Linked DNA regions of Mytilus edulis. The protein of the gene in region 1 purifies or fractionates together with the protein of each later gene. This does not show direct contact. Links are inferred from orthologs where the notes say so. Each region holds a gene or a part of one and is shown on either strand. Other genes may lie near its edges. The genes, in order: ubiquitin conjugation factor E4 B-like and ubiquitin-like protein 7.

What was found.
Region 2: the proteins of ubiquitin conjugation factor E4 B-like (region 1) and ubiquitin-like protein 7 purify together in Homo sapiens (affinity purification with mass spectrometry; 3 studies listed by BioGRID and IntAct, counting the BioPlex papers as one, with this or other methods). This does not show direct contact. The link is inferred for Mytilus edulis from reciprocal best matches to the Homo sapiens genes UBE4B and UBL7.

What each region holds. Positions count from the first base shown.
Region 1 is NC_092356.1:69,800,750-69,809,410, reverse strand, and holds the start of ubiquitin conjugation factor E4 B-like, read right to left. Parts: upstream 3,467-8,661; 5' UTR 3,331-3,466; coding exon 3,307-3,330; intron 1,124-3,306; coding exon 952-1,123; intron 390-951; coding exon 314-389; intron 1-313. Other genes in the region: uncharacterized protein, read left to right, coding at 8,392-8,395. UniProt on the Homo sapiens protein: Ubiquitin-protein ligase that probably functions as an E3 ligase in conjunction with specific E1 and E2 ligases. May also function as an E4 ligase mediating the assembly of polyubiquitin chains on substrates ubiquitinated by another E3 ubiquitin ligase.
Region 2 is NC_092347.1:92,525,413-92,534,189, reverse strand, and holds the start of ubiquitin-like protein 7, read right to left. Parts: upstream 3,906-8,777; 5' UTR 3,871-3,905; coding exon 3,729-3,870; intron 378-3,728; coding exon 258-377; intron 1-257.

The DNA.
Region 1 (8,661 bases):
TTCTGAGCATTCTGAATCCACTTCCAAACTTCTCTAAATCAAACTTACTGTTTTTCTGAGCATTCTGAATCCACTTCTGAACTTCTCTAAATCAAACTTACAGTTTTTCTGAGCATTCTAAATTCTCTTCCAAACTTCTCTAAATCAAACTTACTGTTTTTCTGAGCATTCTGAATCCACTTCTAAACTTCTCTTAATCAAACTTACTGTTTTTCTGAGCATTCTGAATCCACTTCTAAACTTCTCTAAATCAAACTTACAGTTTTTCTGAGCATTCTAAATCCACTTCCATACTTTTCTAAATCAAACTTACTGTTTTTCTGAGCATTCTGAATCCACTTCCATACTTCTCTGCGAGTCTGGTGTGATTGGGTCTACACTTAAAGTACCTAAAAAAAAATCATTGAAAATTAGATTAAAACATTTCCGTAAACCGGTGTTCAAGCAAGAATATGAGGGCACAATGTTAGGAAAAAACACTTTTGTAATGCAATCTTTTTTAAAACAGGTCTTTTCTTATACATTGACAAAAATGAACATGATGAATAACCTCTTTGTTTTTTCCTCCCAAACTCATCTTTCTTGTTGCAGATACATGTATGCTACTTTTAGGCATTCAGCAATTTTCCCATTTGTAAAGGGGCATAACTCTAGAAAAGTTATAGTGATGCCACCAAAATTCAATCTTAATCTGTGTTTTGTGGTAATAAGCATTGTGTGTATATATATACGTGTATACGTTTCTTAACATTTGGTTGAGGCAAACTAAAGTTAGACAACAGAAACCAACTTTGGGACCTACAGACAAGGGTAAATCTTAACTCCACTACGAAAGGGGCATAAACATGTCTACTTTGTGAAGTATCTACTGATGATTTACTTGGAAGAGTTCGTATTAGTTTAGTATCTACTGATGACTTATTTAGGATCTACAATTTACTAATGACTTACTTGGAAGAGTTCGTCTCTGTGAAGTGTCTAATGATGATTGACTTGGTGTTGACTGACTTGATTGTCTTTCTGAAGACTGACTAGAAGGTGTAGACTGGGTTCCCGATGACCTGTCTCCATCTGGAGGGGTAGTCTGGTTTCCTGCTAACCTGGCCAGACGTCTTCTCCTTATCTGTTATAATTAGTGGAAAATTAAATCTCAAACCAGATATTATTTTGTTTATAATGTGATCTCTATCTGCATTACTACTGACAACCGTGTTCGATCGATGACTTGTGTCTTTAGTCTTTTTGAGCATGTTGTGTTTTTTTTGCTTTGTGTCAATTTGATGAGGTAAGCCCTTTTCAAAAGATAGTTCTCATTGACAATCATACCCACAATTTGACACAAACAGTAGTCAGTATACAGCACCTACTTGAACACTATTTAGTTCTGACATTTGAAGTCATTTGGACTAAATGTATCTGACATTTTGTCAGTATATGTACATTGTAGTAAATGTAAATATTTCTATATTCCACATCATGGACAAATGATTTTCCATCCCAGAAACCTGTGCATCAGTGGGTAATACCCATGTTTAATTAGCTGGGTCCTATATATCATCATGGATACAACTATCATTTAGCTGTTAATAAGAATCCCAAAACATTTATTTTAATCTGAAATTGACTCTGGTTTCATACAATGGTTTCAGTTAACAGGTTAAAGGTTAAAAGTCAAAAGAAACAAAACAAAAAAAAATTGATGTAATTGATCATGTGCTTGGCTTACTACATGTATGTGTTAGATCTATTTGTATGGATCCATCTGATGAGTTAAGCATTTTTCAACTGATTTTTATACAGAATGTAGTTCATTTTTATGTTGTACCGTTACACCACGGTCATGACTGTCCTAGTTGAGGGTTGAGATCACACTTACATGTTTAAACCCACAACATTCTGTTTGAATGTGACTGTCCCAAGTGAATCTGGGACCGTTCCCGCCCATTCACGTTCGCACCCACTCATGTTCGCCCCCTTTCACTTTCGCACCCCACATGTTCGCAACCAAAGTCTGTTCGCGCCCAATTTTTATTGGTTTTGTGTTTAATAAATTTGTAATCAAGTTTTGGCAAGTAGTATTCCTAAAAGTATAATTGATTTCATTGTCTCAAAATAAAGCGAGACAGCATTTTTTAAGTGTTGAATAAATCTTAATCATGTTTTTGAAAGTGTATTGTTAAAAAAAATAATATTCCTTTCTAATTAAAGTGGGATTCTGTCAATGTTTTATTTTTTGTTGAATAACACTTAATCATGTTTTGTTTAGTGTATTGCCTATAAAACTTTGTTTCATTGGCTTGTTTCAAAATGAAATAAATTTTATCATGTTTTGGTTTATATAATAGTGTATTGCTATATTTTATTATTTCATTGTTTCAGATCAAAGGGACCAAGCTGTTAAAAACAATTATCTTTTGTGTTTTTCATTTAAAATATTTAATCTTTTACTCATACCAAGCTATAAATACATTCAGTATTTACATCAAAGTAATTAAAATTAACAATAATGATTTTCCAATTATTCAACTGGAATTTAAATTAAAATTGGGCGCGAACGTGTAGAGTGCGAATGGACCTTGGGTGCGAACGTGTAGGATGCGAAAGTATATTGGGCACGAACGGACCTGATACCGTCCCAAGTGGGGAGGCTGTGATTTGGTGGATGTCATTTGTTGCTGTGTTACATATTTTGTTTCGTTCATTTGTTTAGACATTAATTAGACACCTATCACTAATCCCGGCTGACCCGAGAATCCGTGCCACTTTAGCTATTGATGTCACACATAAATCCTTTTTATTGTGGCTTTAGATATTTTGTATTCTGATGTCAAAATTTGGCTGGAACCTATGTAATGTCCAGTAATGGCGGGCATATAGTGTATTAGTGTTTTGTTGAAGGCCATACAGAGATCTATAATTTCTAATTTCTGTGTCACTTGGTCTATTGCGATGAGTTATCCTTTTTTATATATGCAACACTTATGGGATAACATTTATTTATCAACAATAAAGTTGTCACAGGACAATGAATTAGATCTTCAAGACATAATGAATTATGACATTATCAATGTCTTTTACATCTACTTCTATGTGGTTAATCTGCAACAGAAATTTCCATAATGCAGATACAGATAATATACTTAAATGGATAATTATGTGATGTAACACAAACAGTCAAAGGGTTTTAAAGAGTATTAGCCATAATTTTATACATTCACTAATAATTTCGGTCAAAACATTGAAAATAAGGAATCATGACAAATCAATTTATTGTTGATTTTTTTTGGTTTAGCTTCAATAATCTACCTCGTCTGGAGTGAGTTCACTCATTTCTTCTCTACTTAGATATTTGATTCGATTTTTTCTACCATAAAGTTCCTTATTATTTTTAAATCAAGGTAAAAGTGTCTTTGTGTTTTCTTCTTTTCCAATATGTGACGTCACATTTTAACCCGGAAGTGTTCACTGTTATTCGCAGCTTTAGACAAAGCAAAAAAAACCCGAAGAGACCAATAACGAACCCCAAAACACATTCGACTCAAATACTCCGATCTCGGATGAATATTATAAAAGGGTTTGGATCGGGTTAAATGATTAAAGAATAATACCCTTTAAAAAATGAAGATTAGAGAATAATGAGGCCATAAAATGAAGATTAGAAAAAAGGGTTAATATTTTGAAGATTAGAGAATAAAGGGGTTAATTTTTTAAAGATTAGAGAAAAAAGGGGTGACTTGAAATTAAATGTTTACAGAATAACAGACCCCCTCCAGACCCTTTTGTAAGCGCGCAATAAAAGTTTTTTTCTTATTTTTTGTTATGGAACACCACAAACAGTTGTGTACGTGTATTAAAATGTGTCACAAATCTTAATACTTATTTATATTAATATATTTCAAGTAAATTGACTAAAATAACATTTGAGTATTTGAGACAAATACCTTGTCTTTTTGTACTCCAGATTTCGATCAACTTTGGAATCGGATTCAAAAATACTTATTGAGTGGTTCATGGTAAATAAAATGCAAGCAAATCCTGACGAATTTCAAGTTTTGGCTGTTGGCAAAAAGACCTTTGAAAAGAACCCATCTGTGTATATTCAAAATTCGAACCTCACATGTGAAAAAACAGTAAAATTATTAGGCATTGAAATAGACTACCAGCTAAATTTTGATGTTCATATCAGCTCAATCTGTAGGAAGGCATCACAGCAATTAAATGTTTTAAAACGTTTAGGCTTTGTTTTGGATAGACTTAGTAAACTTACTATATTTCATACTTTTATTCTTAGTAATTTTAATTTTTGCCTTTTGGCATGGCATTTTTGCACTGAGAAAAATTTCAAAAAACTAGAAAAGGTGCAGGAAAGAGCACTCCGTTTTGTGTATGAGGATTTTACCAGCTCCTACGAGGACCTCTTACTTAAAGCTAAGGTGCCTTCCTAGCAGATCAGACGGATAAGAACAATGGCTCTAGAAACTTTTAAAATTATAAACAACATAGCTCCTGTGTGTTTACAAAATTTGGTGAATGTCAAAAAGTCTAAATATTCTTTCAGGTATGTAAATATTCTTGAAATTCCACAGGTAAAGCTAGTCAACCCGTTACGGTAAAAAATCGTTCAAATTTGCTGCTGCTACTTTATGGAACATTCTTCCAAACCATTTCAGGACTGAAAACAGGTTTTCACATTTTAAAAGTCTTGTTCAGTCCTGGAACGGTTTGGAATGACAGTGTTCTGCTTGCAGATAATTCTTGAACTGTTTATTATTTATGCTGATTTTGGTTGCTCTGGTCAAGCATGTTTTTACTTCATTCGAAAATGTGTTGCTTATTTTTATTGCATGCTTTGTATGTGAGATTTCAATTTTGTATTACAGGTTGTTTTATATATGTCAAAATACACTGTTTTTATGTTATTTATATGTTTTTATATTCGGTCAAAAGCTCCTTAGAGCTTGTGTTGCTTATTTGTACTCATGCCGAATCAAAATAAAGTTTTCTTATCTTATCTTATCTTATAACACTATATATTTATACATACCGAATCTAGGATAATACTGTTTTCAGTAAAAAGTTAAGCAGGGATAAGATTTAAATCTAAAGGATAATTTATCTAGTATAGGTTAAGGGGCTCGAGGGTATCATAACTCTTTTTTTTTTAAGATAAAGGATATCGCTATTTTATCTGTAAATAAACTTTAAAATATATACGTAATAGCAAAATAAAATGAAAACAATGGGGTCATCGTCTATTCAAGCTCACGATCTGCCTACGAAAGGCATTCATTTTTTAAAGTACTTTTTTCTGTTGAACTTATTGGAGCAATAAAGGTATAATATCGAAATAAAAAAAGAACTTTTTTTACAGTAATTGCTTAATTTGTTAAAATCACGGTTTAGTTTAAGTACAGCTTGTTTGAATTTTTTTTATAGGTCACCGATGAGTTAATAAAAGCTATTTCAATTTCAATGCAAAAAATGGCATTTTTGCACCATTTTAAAAGTCATCTGGGGCAAAAACAAATCGATTTTTGTGTTGATTTTTTTGAACCATATTTAATATGGTTGCAACTAAAAGTGTATTAATAAATAAAACTTGTAACTAAAAATTCCACTAATTGCCTGTTCAGTTTCAGGTAATTTATAGGAGAAGGATATCATTGAGATGCATATATGACAAAAGTGGACAAAACACAGATTCTTGCAAAGAAAATAACTATTGGTTCGGTAAATTTGATTTATTCTCCAAAACCCAGCTTGGAAGGTTAATATGTCATTTGCTATGTTCTTTTTAGTGAAATTATGTTAAATACATACTCACTCTGTATTCAAATACCAGTAGTGAATTTGTTATTATTATGTCAAAATCGCAGAAGGACTGATACACACCTCCGGGTGCGGGATTTCTCGCTGTATTGAAGACCCATTGTGACATTAGGCTGTTTTCTGCTCTTTGGTCGGGTTGTTGTCTCTTTGACACATTCCTGATTTCCATTCTTAGCTTTACTCCACCCTCACACAAAACGTATTATTTTTAGTAAAATGAATGTCCCTGATTTTTTCAGTTGAGTATTCGACTTTAGAAGCTTGCAAAACATGAACTGATGTTGCCTTTTTCAATCTATCATCACTATGTCAGAAAATATGTATAACATTTCTATTATTTTGTCATAAATTTGGAATAATTATGTAAAATATATTCTTGATTATTTAAACTTTACCCTTTTCTATTCAGTAATACCATATAAAAACTGTTGAAAGCTTTCAAATGAGTTTTTTTTTAACTTTTCATTCTATAATTAGTTATCAAAGGTACCAGGATTATAATTTAGTACGCCAGACGCGCGTTTCGTCTACATAAGACTCATCAGTGACGCTCATATCAAAATATTTATAAAGCCAAACAAATAAAAAGTTGAAGAGCATTGAGGATCCAAAGGTACAAAAAGTTGTGCCAAATACGGCTAAGGTAATCTATGCCTGGGATAAGAAAATCCTTAGTTTTTCGGTAAATTCATAGTTTTGTAAACAGGAAATTTATAAAATGACCACATTAATGATGTCCATGTCAACACCGAAGTGTTGACTACTGGGCTGGTGATACCCTCGGGGACGAAACGTCCACCAGCAGTGGCATCGACCCAGTGGTGTAAATAGTTATCAAAGGTACCAGGATTATAATTTAGTACGCCAGATGCGCGTTTCGTCTACATAAGACTCATCAGTGACGCTCATATCAAAATATTTATATAGCCAAACAAGTAAAAAGTTGAAGAGCATTGAGGATCCAAAAGTCCAAAAAGTTGTGCCAAATACGGCTAAGGTAATCTATGCCAGGAATAAGAAAATCCTTAGTTTTTCGGTAAATTTATAGTTTTGTAAACAGGAAATTTATAAAATGACCACATTAATGATATTCATGTTAAAATAGATTCAGGCATTTTGTAGAATGCCGTTTAATTTTTTCCAGGCATTTTGAAAAATGCCTAGATAATTTAGACATTGTGTTTAATTACTGAATCTTGCAGGTATTTTAGAAAATGCCTTAAAAGTTTTCAGGCATTTTACAAAATGCCTAAATTTAGAAAATGCCTGTAATATATACATACAAAACATTGTTGTTGACAGAGGTCTGTTCAGTAGTCACTTTATATACACTGTCATTTTATAATCATTTCATTGGCTACCATCTTTTTGTTACTGATTACCCGATATCAGTCTATACATCAATACGTGGCTATGGTACCGGTGGAACAGCATTTTTTTGGCAGAAAGACTTGACCAATGCAGTTAATATAATGCCGGATGGGAATGATCTCATTCAAGTACTAACAACAGACAGTAACCCAAATTTAATATATCTACTAGTAATTGATTTATATATGCCATCTGCCCAAATTAGTGGAGACAATAGTTTCAAAGATACACTATATCAAATTTCAAAAATTATGGATAAATATAAAGAAATTTACCAGATCATCCTATGTGACGATATGAATGCACCCTTGCATCCTGATTATAGAAAATGAAACAAAGTATTTGAAGGTTTCACAAAGAAAGGCAACAGTAAAATACCACTGTCCGAAAGTCATAAATCGATTGAGACAACACAAATCCGGGTTACAAACTAAAGCCGAGGGAATCACATCAACTATACTATAAGAGGAAAATAACAAAACAACAGAAACAATGATTTTGCAAAAAAAAAACCCCAAAAACGACAATGCAACACACATGACACACAGAGAAACGAACTAAAAGACAACAACTGCCATTTTCCTGACTTGGAAGAATACATTTTAAGAAAAAAAACGGTGGGTTGAACCCGGTTTTGTGGCTAGACAAACCTCACGCTTTTGTGGCAATGTTAAAGTTTACACTCAAATGACAACACTACATGACAGGAATACAGTTCAAATAAATGCAAGAACACTCAGGACAGAGAAATACACAAATAAACAAAACAATAGCATATTTCGACATGCTAAACACAGAACAAAATAGAACATACAAAACAACATAGAACAGCACAACAGAACCACGAACTATGTCAAAAATATAAACAATTACATTTACCAGATAGCTACCCAATAAAGCCAACTCTTTTCCATCACGGTGGTAAATAAGTCTTACAAATTGATTATTTTTTGTTAAATAAAAAAGTATACAGCAATTAAAACTGACTGTAAAGATAGCTTTAAGTCACACTACAAATACTTCCGATCATACGCCTGTAACAGCAAGGGACAAGATACTATAAGGCCCGTTTATGCCCCCTTCTATTTTCTCATTTTCAAATTCTGTTTTAGAAAGCTACTTATCACGTTAAAACATTCCCTTAGGTTTGAAGTTTTTTTGGATGAACTTCAAAACCATTAATTTAAAAAAATGGGTAAGGTAAGAGGGGTAAAAGGGCACAAAAAACGCCAGAAGAAGGGAAAATTACGATTTTTGGTCATTGTTTCTTAAAATTTAATAGGGTCACTACGTGACCCGGAGAAAATTACGGCGATTCAGACGGTAAAAACAGTGCTAATGACATTGGAAGAAAAATATTCCCGAGTTACGTTAGCGCAGGCACTTAAAACTAAAATTCGTTATACGAAACACATGCAAAGTGATAATAATTACAATATTTGAAAAATAACAGAAATTTAA
Region 2 (8,777 bases), on another chromosome or scaffold:
TATGCATGACTTTTCCAAGCAACTGCTCTGTTCAATGATTTTTTCCCATTATTTTCAGACCATTTTAACATCCATTATGAAAATCTGTCCCCTTTCCAAAATGGCCTAAGTAACTGTGAAGGGGCCTATTGTATAAAATTATATATTCTACACATTGCATGCAATGATATATATGTGATATAATCTACACATTGCATGCAATGATATATATGTGATATAATCTACACATTTCATGTAATGTTCTAAAGAAAAGTTACCCTGTGAGTCATCTTTTTCGGATAAAAATTTCTTTAAAGCAAAAACTGTAGCACCAGCTTTTAAACCAGCACCCTCTAGTGGTTCACTGTCTTGTAATTTTTTACCACAGTAAATTAATTCTGAAAAATAAACAAATATAATCAAACATACATGTAAAGATAATGAGAAATTTCATGAAAAAAAATCATAAATTTCATGAATACATGTATGTACATGTATATCCAAGATCTTTTCAGAATGTTTGCTAAATACTAATTTTTAACTTTCCTTATTATTTTTAGTTTATAGTACATTTCTGATTTTAAATCTTCCTTATTATTTTACCTGGCAATATTATTGCCAAATGTTCTTTCTTTACAATCATGACAATGGTAGGATGATTATAATAACTTACCGGTACTGACCCCTTAGAAATTCATCAAATTTAAATCTCATTTTGTTTCCCTAACAGTTTCAAGCTATTTGTAAGTTGTCATAGTTAGCATAAATTTGTTTTTGAATGTTTACGGGTAGATTGGGTGTTGCTGGTTGCTGTTGTGTTGTATTTATGGCGATTCCTGTTGTCACTTATCAAATTAAACACATTCCACAAAATGAGAAACAATCCCTCAATTCTAATGATGATATTAATTGTCCTTCTTTATCAGTAATCTCTTGTACAAATCAATTCAATACTTAGCAATGGAAGGGTATCTGGATTGTGCATTTATTTCCACAGGAATTCCACATTTACACAAATAAAGACTTGGGATTAACTGATTATTTTGGGGGGATTCAGTGAAAGAATTTTTTTTTTCAGGATTTTCCTGGCTTCTGTCTCCAATTTTTTGAGACACTTAAAGCCAAGCACAAGGTTTTAGTCTTCCCTTTTAAAAAAAAGTTGCCTGTATTTCAATTCTGAAACAACAAATTCGCTAAATATAAAAATAACAAGAATGTGTCCATAGTACAAACAAACAAACAACAAATATTTTATTTGCCAATCACGGCGCCCAGAATGAGCAGAATAATTATAATATAATTTTCAAACATAATGTAGAGTAAATTCAAAATAGGTTAAACAAAGTACATAATATGATTGATTTTGATTTGGTTGATTGATATAATATTAAAGAAAATGAAGTAGGCAATTTGTAAATAATAAACATATATAATACAATATGACCAATAGTATGTTATTATGGTCCCTTTATTGGACAGCACACCTTGTAGTAAATACTAATAATTTATGAAATGTAAAAGAAATAACTTATGTAAATGCATATTTGATCATACATAATTTTATATAGAGAAATCTAATTTAATATTGTATTTCTGTTTATATTTAAAACCTCTAATAACTGACAAATTATTATCAAAATGTTTTTATCTTCATTTCCCATTAGCCAAATAAAAAGAGATTTGTTATCAAGTTTTGAAATATTTTTATTTTTACTATATATTTTGCTTAGAAAGGGATTTCTAACATTATCCAGAGTTTTACATGTTAGAAGAAAATGCATCTCATCTTCTATTTCCTCATTACAGAGTTTGCATATTCTATTTTCTAGTTTAATATTAAAATAACGACCTTTTTCTATTTCAAGTTTGTGAGTACACGGATGCACCACTCACAGTATCATTTTCTATGTTTAGTGGACCGTGAAATTGGGGTCAAAACTTTAATTTGACATTAAAATTAGAAAGATCATATCATGGGGAACATGTGTACTAAGTTTCAAGTTGATGTAACTTTAACTTCATCAAAAACTAACTTGACCGAAAACTTTAACCTGAAACGAACAGACGCACAGACGGACGAACGAACGGAGGCACAGACCAAAAACATAATGCCCCTCTACTATCGTAGGTGGGGCATAAAAAAATTTGATATGATTACCAATACATCTTCATGATCAATCTTATAGCTATTCACGTCTGATCAGAAAATCTGTCCTGCTTGAACTATTGTCATCATACAACAATCAATTTTTTCATAGTGGCTTAAGATATTTAGTATTATGATGTCAAAATTTTAGGGTCCCGAACCTGTGTGATATCCAGTAATGGCGGACAAATAGCGAAAAGGTGTATTCGACAACTCTCCAAAAGAGACCAAATGACACAGATATTGAAGACAATGGGTCACTGTACCTATTTCAACAATGAGCCAAGCTCATATCACATGTCAGCTTTAAAAGCCAATCAAATGAAAATCAATTCAAACTAAAACTAACAACCTTATTTTGACTGTCCCTCTGGTATCTTTCGTCCCTCTTTTATCAGGTCAGGAATAACCACCAATTGGTGGATTATACCTCAATTGACGTATAATCCACCAATTGACATATATGGGTATAGACCAATTGACGTATTATGCAGGTTTTTTGTAATAAAATGCTTGTATGAGATAGGAGCATGATTTTGCAACTTGCAATCTATTTTATGACCCTTATTGAGTGCTCCAAAAGTTTCAGTTTTGTCAAAGCCTGATGCATCTCTTGAGAATGCATGTGTGCAACAATTCTTTTGTTAAAACATTTGTACTTTTGACCATGATTGACTTTTGATAATGAAAGTCAGGTATTAACAAAGAGCTCCATTCACCTGTGGAGTTGTACTCATGATCACATGACTGCACACAGTATTGATGTCCATTGACAGGTGATTAGTGGTTAATTTACCAATCAAGAATTGACAAGATAACAATAGAAGAAACTGCAAATACAATTATTGATTAAATGCAATATGTTATGTGACTATACTTAACTAGGAATGTTTGACAAGTTTTAATACCATAATATGGTTTTAAGAAAACAATGCTCCATTTTGGTGGAATAATTTGCTTTGAAAAACAAAGAACTATACACCAATTGGTCTATATCATTATACGTCAATTGGTGGATTATACATCAATTGAGGTATAATCCACCAATTGGTGGTTATTCCTGACCTGTTTATTCATGTACAAAGCAAGAAACAAAATTATACAAATATGAGAAACAGCAACAAACAACAACTGAATGACAGTCTCCTGACTTGGGAAAAGCACATATAGAATGTGGCAGGGTTAAACTAGTTTGAAGAAACCAACCCAGACCCCTAACCTGGGACAAAAACAGTTTACAGAGCACCCATTGAGAGCTGCGAGGGTACAGTGGAATCCATTTTGGGATTAATGGAGATGTGTCCCTTACATATTTACATTGTTTAATATTTACAAGGACAAATTATAGCCTTTCAAGATGTCATAATTATTTGAATAAAATTTACACGTAATCATTTCGCCAGACTATGGAATTATTCCACATTTGGTGAATTGTGGTTGAAGTTGTGCCAAACAGGGTTTCAGTTAATTGCTACTATTGTGCGTGTTAGATAGCATGGCACCGTGTTTATCATATTTATTTATTTTAATTATTGCATAGGCTGGCATAGCATGAAAATTTAAGTGAAGAAATGTGATCAAAACAATGAAATCTCATCATTACCGATGTCAGAGGGAGGTAAGTTGATGACTTTAGAAACTTCCTCTTTTAAAAACAAGGAGTTGCCTTTCAGATTAACAAAATTAAGTGTTATTTTGTCAGTTTTTCCTTGTACAGTTCGGTTACAAATTTTTAGGGACGCCATTGCTGTTTTGTAAACTGGTTTAGTATTATACGGTCTATTCTCCGTTACAAAATCAAAGTAAATAAAAAGGAACCAGTAATTTAAAAAAAAAGTATTGTAGTACCGGTTTCATTCGGGCGACATAAGAATAATTTCCTTATTTGATATTTTTTCAAAGATGGACAGTATTGTTAAAAAAATCTTATGGACAATAAAATTTAATGGGGAAATTCTTCTTTAGCTCAGTCTGTTAGAGCGCTGCCTTGTAGCACATCATTATCTCTGGTGACAAACAACTAAAAATTAAAAAGCATAAAAGTTAATTATTGCTAAATTAGCCACCGCTTTCATTCATCTTTTTCAGATTTTCTTTATTAAATTACCCCTTTTAGAGGATCTGTACATACCTTAATATAAGAAGACTGGGCCCTGTTATCATTAAAATCTATATGGTTTACATACAGTATTTGTGTTTATAAATAAATGTCAGCTTTATTGTACATCCCATTTGAACCATTAATTAAAATTAAATATTCTCTTCTATTGATAGTCATATACTTTATACTTTAAGTTATCATGATTCAATAAGGGATTTTGTTCAGTGTGTTCCTAATTTATCTGAGAGAAATCAATAGGCAACTATATTAAATAGTTTAATAGATATATTCAATAGAATATCTCATTTCAGCCTACTACAATGTATCTTTAATTTCATGTTTTCTTCTAAAACTAAACACTCTTTAGTCTTACTGTATGTAGTTTCATGCTGCTTTCTGTGTGATCTCTTATTTTTCTGTACCCTATCATCATCCTGCTACATACAGATGTCTCATCTATCTTACTGATAAGGATTGAGCATTTGTGCTAATGAACTTTAAAATCAAGATCTTACTTCAGGTATCCCAATAACTTAACATTATCATTGAACCTTCAGATAGACATTTTCAATATTTGGATATGAGCGTTCCTGATGTTAAATAGTCCTATAATATAAGACTCTGCAGTGCAGGTTCATATCATTTACATTCATTTTTTATCAGATTTTTTTTTTTTTAATATCAATGTTGAACCTCTGTTGAATGTAAATGATATGAACCAAAACTAGAGGCTCTTAAGAGACTGTGTCACTCACCTTGGTCGATGTGCATATTAAACAAATTACACAGATGGATTAATGACAAAATTGTGTTTTGGTGATGGTGATGTGTTTGTAGATCTTACTTTACTGAACATTCTAACTACTTACAATTTTCTCTATCTATAATAAACTTGAACCTTTTCATTACAGAGGAAAATATTTTGTAAAAATTTACTACAAAAATACCAAATTAATGAAAATTGTTAAAAATTGACTATATAAAGGGCAATAACTCCTTAAGGGACCAACTGACCATTTTGGTGATGTTGACTTATTTGTAGATCTTACTTTGCTTAATATTATTGCTGTTTACAGTTTATCTCTATCTATAATAGTATTCAAGATAATAACCAAAAATGGCAAAATTTCTTTAAAAATTACCAATTGGTGGGCAGCAACCCAACAACCAGTTGTCCAATTCGTCTGAAAATTTCAGGGCAGATAGATATTGACTTGATAAACAATTTTACCCCATGTCAGATTTGCTCTAAATTCTTTTGTTTCAGATTTATAAGCCAAAATCTACATTTTACCCCCATGTTCTATTATTTGCCATGGCGGCCATCTTGGTTGGCTGGCTGGGTTACCGCACACATTTTTTAAATAGATACCCCAATGATGATTGTGGCTAAGTTTGATTAAATTTGGCCCAGTAGTTTCAGAGGAGAAGATTTTTGTAGAAGATTACAAAAATTTACGAAAAATTGGTAAAAAATGACTATAAAGGGCAACAACTCCTTAAGGGGTCAAATGACCATTTTGGTGATTTTGACCTTTTTGAAGATCTTAATTTGCTGAACATTATTGTTGTTTACAGTTTATCTCTATCTATAAAAGTATTGAAGATAATAACCCAAAACGGCAAAATATCGTTAAAATTAAGGAATAATAGTACTGTAGTTGAAGAGTTGCCACCGTCAAAAATGCTTTGGTTTCAGAGATATGAGCCAAAAATCTACATTTTACCCCTATGTTCTATTTTTAGCCATGGTGGCCATCTTGGTTGGTTGGCCGGGTCACCGGACACATTTTTTAAACTAGATACCTCAATGATGATTGTTGCCAAGTTTGGTTTAATTTTGGCCCAGTAGTTTCAGAGGAGAAGATTTTTGTAAAAGTTAACGATGACGAACGACGAAGACGACGCTGGACGCAAAGTGATGAGAAAAGCTCTCTTGGCCTTTCGGGCCAGGTGAGCTAAAAATCTGATAAAAAACATTAAATGTAAATGATATGAACATGCAGTCTTTTATTATAGGACTAGATGTTAAAGTGATTCAGACTTATGAAATTTAATACAATTTTTTTCCCAATTACACCTTACTATGGTTCTATACAAAAATACAACTGAGATGTAACTCATAGTTATTGGGAATCTGTTGTAAAATCCCAAAAGATCAACATTGATCATAAACTATGAAATAAGGTTATGCTTGCATACCGGTATTGGAATGTCAGATGAATCCAGTCAGAAGGGCAAATACCTCCAACAACCATCCTAAATACCAAATATAATTTACCTATCATTTAAAGTAACTGAGAAACTGACCTATTTTGGAATGCTTCATCAACATATTATATAAACATAAAATGATTTTAAAGTTTGTAAAACAATTGTTTTCTGATGCACATCCTCATTCTCTACATGATTCAAAATGTGGGAAAGCCATAGATTTTTAAATAAACAGGGGGCTATGTACACATCACCAGTTAATAACCTATAAAATGATTGAAACCTTCAAAAATCAAATAACCTCATTCAAAATTTAATCCATATAATAACCAAATGTTTTGTGTTTGGTATTACTTGTAAACAACCCTTATACTTCTGATGCCTTTTGACCTCGAGTCTGACTGTCCTTGACCTTTGTGTTAATATATACTCGACTGTATTGCACTGGTTACCAAAATTTCGGATACACCAAACCAGGCACTTCTTATCTGAGAAACAGGCTATATATGTCCTCAATTTCAGAGTTCATTCAGACATTTTTGTATTATTCAGAATTATCAGTGAATTGAGTGTTCTACAAGGATCACCACTCCTTCCCCTTTTATCTGATACCTTAATTACTAAAATATATGCTACATGGTTTACACCTGTGCATAGGAACTTTTTTGTTTTAAATATGTACTACTTTCCTTATGTTCTTTTTTGGACCCAATTAGGTGGTGTTACATCTTACAAAGTCTATCCAAATTTTTTGCCAAGAATTTCGCTCAAGCCAGTGCTAGACCCCGCCCCATCTTAGTGCAGTGAGGTACAAGTTCATTTTTGCTCTGCGTTGAAGGCCTCACTATGACTTTGAGATGAAGAATAGCAATACAAGAACTGTTCCTTTGCTTCTTACATGTTTTTTGTTGCTGTGCATGTACTCATTTTGTGTCATGGATAGATGACTCATATCCTTTGTTTTGATACTTTGGTAAATTTAACCAAGTTTCCAGAAGATAGACTGATAATGTATGATACAATAATTAGAACATGAGAAGACAGCACTTTTATTTCAAATATAAACATGACAACAACTACTGTTGTCAGATTTTGCCAATGTCATTTACATTTGTATATTTACACATAAATATGAAAAAATAAAAAAAAACATATAACAAGTTATTAACAAATGCACCAAGTTCATCATAGAAAAGTTGACCATGTCATTATAATGAGCACTTAAAGCATTAATTTTATTATAAATACAGTTTTTCTCTGTAAGAATCTCCATTTACTGTTTCTTGATTAGTTAAATCTCATTGTAATTAATATACATTGATATATTGTTCCAACAGACTAACACCACAGACACATTGCAACTACACATAAATCTCTGTTCACATGGTTATTCCAATTTTTTTTACACTTAAGCATACAAATAATATCTATTAGGATATCTGATTCTATATACATATAAATTTCTAAACTGCAACTAAAAAAAAATCTCCATTTACACTTTACAGAATTTTTCCAACATGATTACACATAAGCTTACAAAAAGTAATTGTTTGCATGATACTTACTAAACATCAATTTCTAAAACATTTCTGAAGTGAACTTAATATTATAATTATGAGTACCTAAAAATTGATCTACTGCATTATGGTATTTTACTATTTTAGTGAAAATAATATAAAACTAATAAATCAGTAATTCTCTTTATTTTCAAACATACATACAAATGACCATGCTAAAATCATTAGTCATTCATCATTTTATAAAATTGGCATACAGTTGTAAACCTTTCTGCTGAAAAGGATATAATTCATGTCAAGTAAAAGATAGTTCAATAAATGATATTATTATACTTCAGTGTGTTTTTTCTATATCAAAAGTAATGAAATAGTTGTGCTATTTCATTCCACAGAACCATTTGCCATTCAATAGTTTCAAAGACTATTGCCCCGGTGAATAGTTTCATAATCATCTTTCCCGTACTTTTTCATGCTTATTTTTCATTGGACGACAATGATGTCATTGACTACTCTGCTTGGTTACGTATGCTTTGCAACGTCAAACTCCCGCTAATATTGTAAACGGTGGGATCTGTTTGTGTTGATTGTAATTTCACTTATAAGAAGCAATCATTAAAAAGAAGAAAAAATCTTCATGGGGATTTTTTTAAAGATCTAAAATGTAGTACCTTATCCTTAATATGGGTTCGCTCTCCGTATATTAAAAGTGAATTTGCGTTTGGTGTATTTTAGCTAGAATTTGTTATAAGCACAGAAAGTTTAACACAAGTATTTCTAGTCTTGATTGAAATTAATTAATGAAATATTTATTAATACAAAA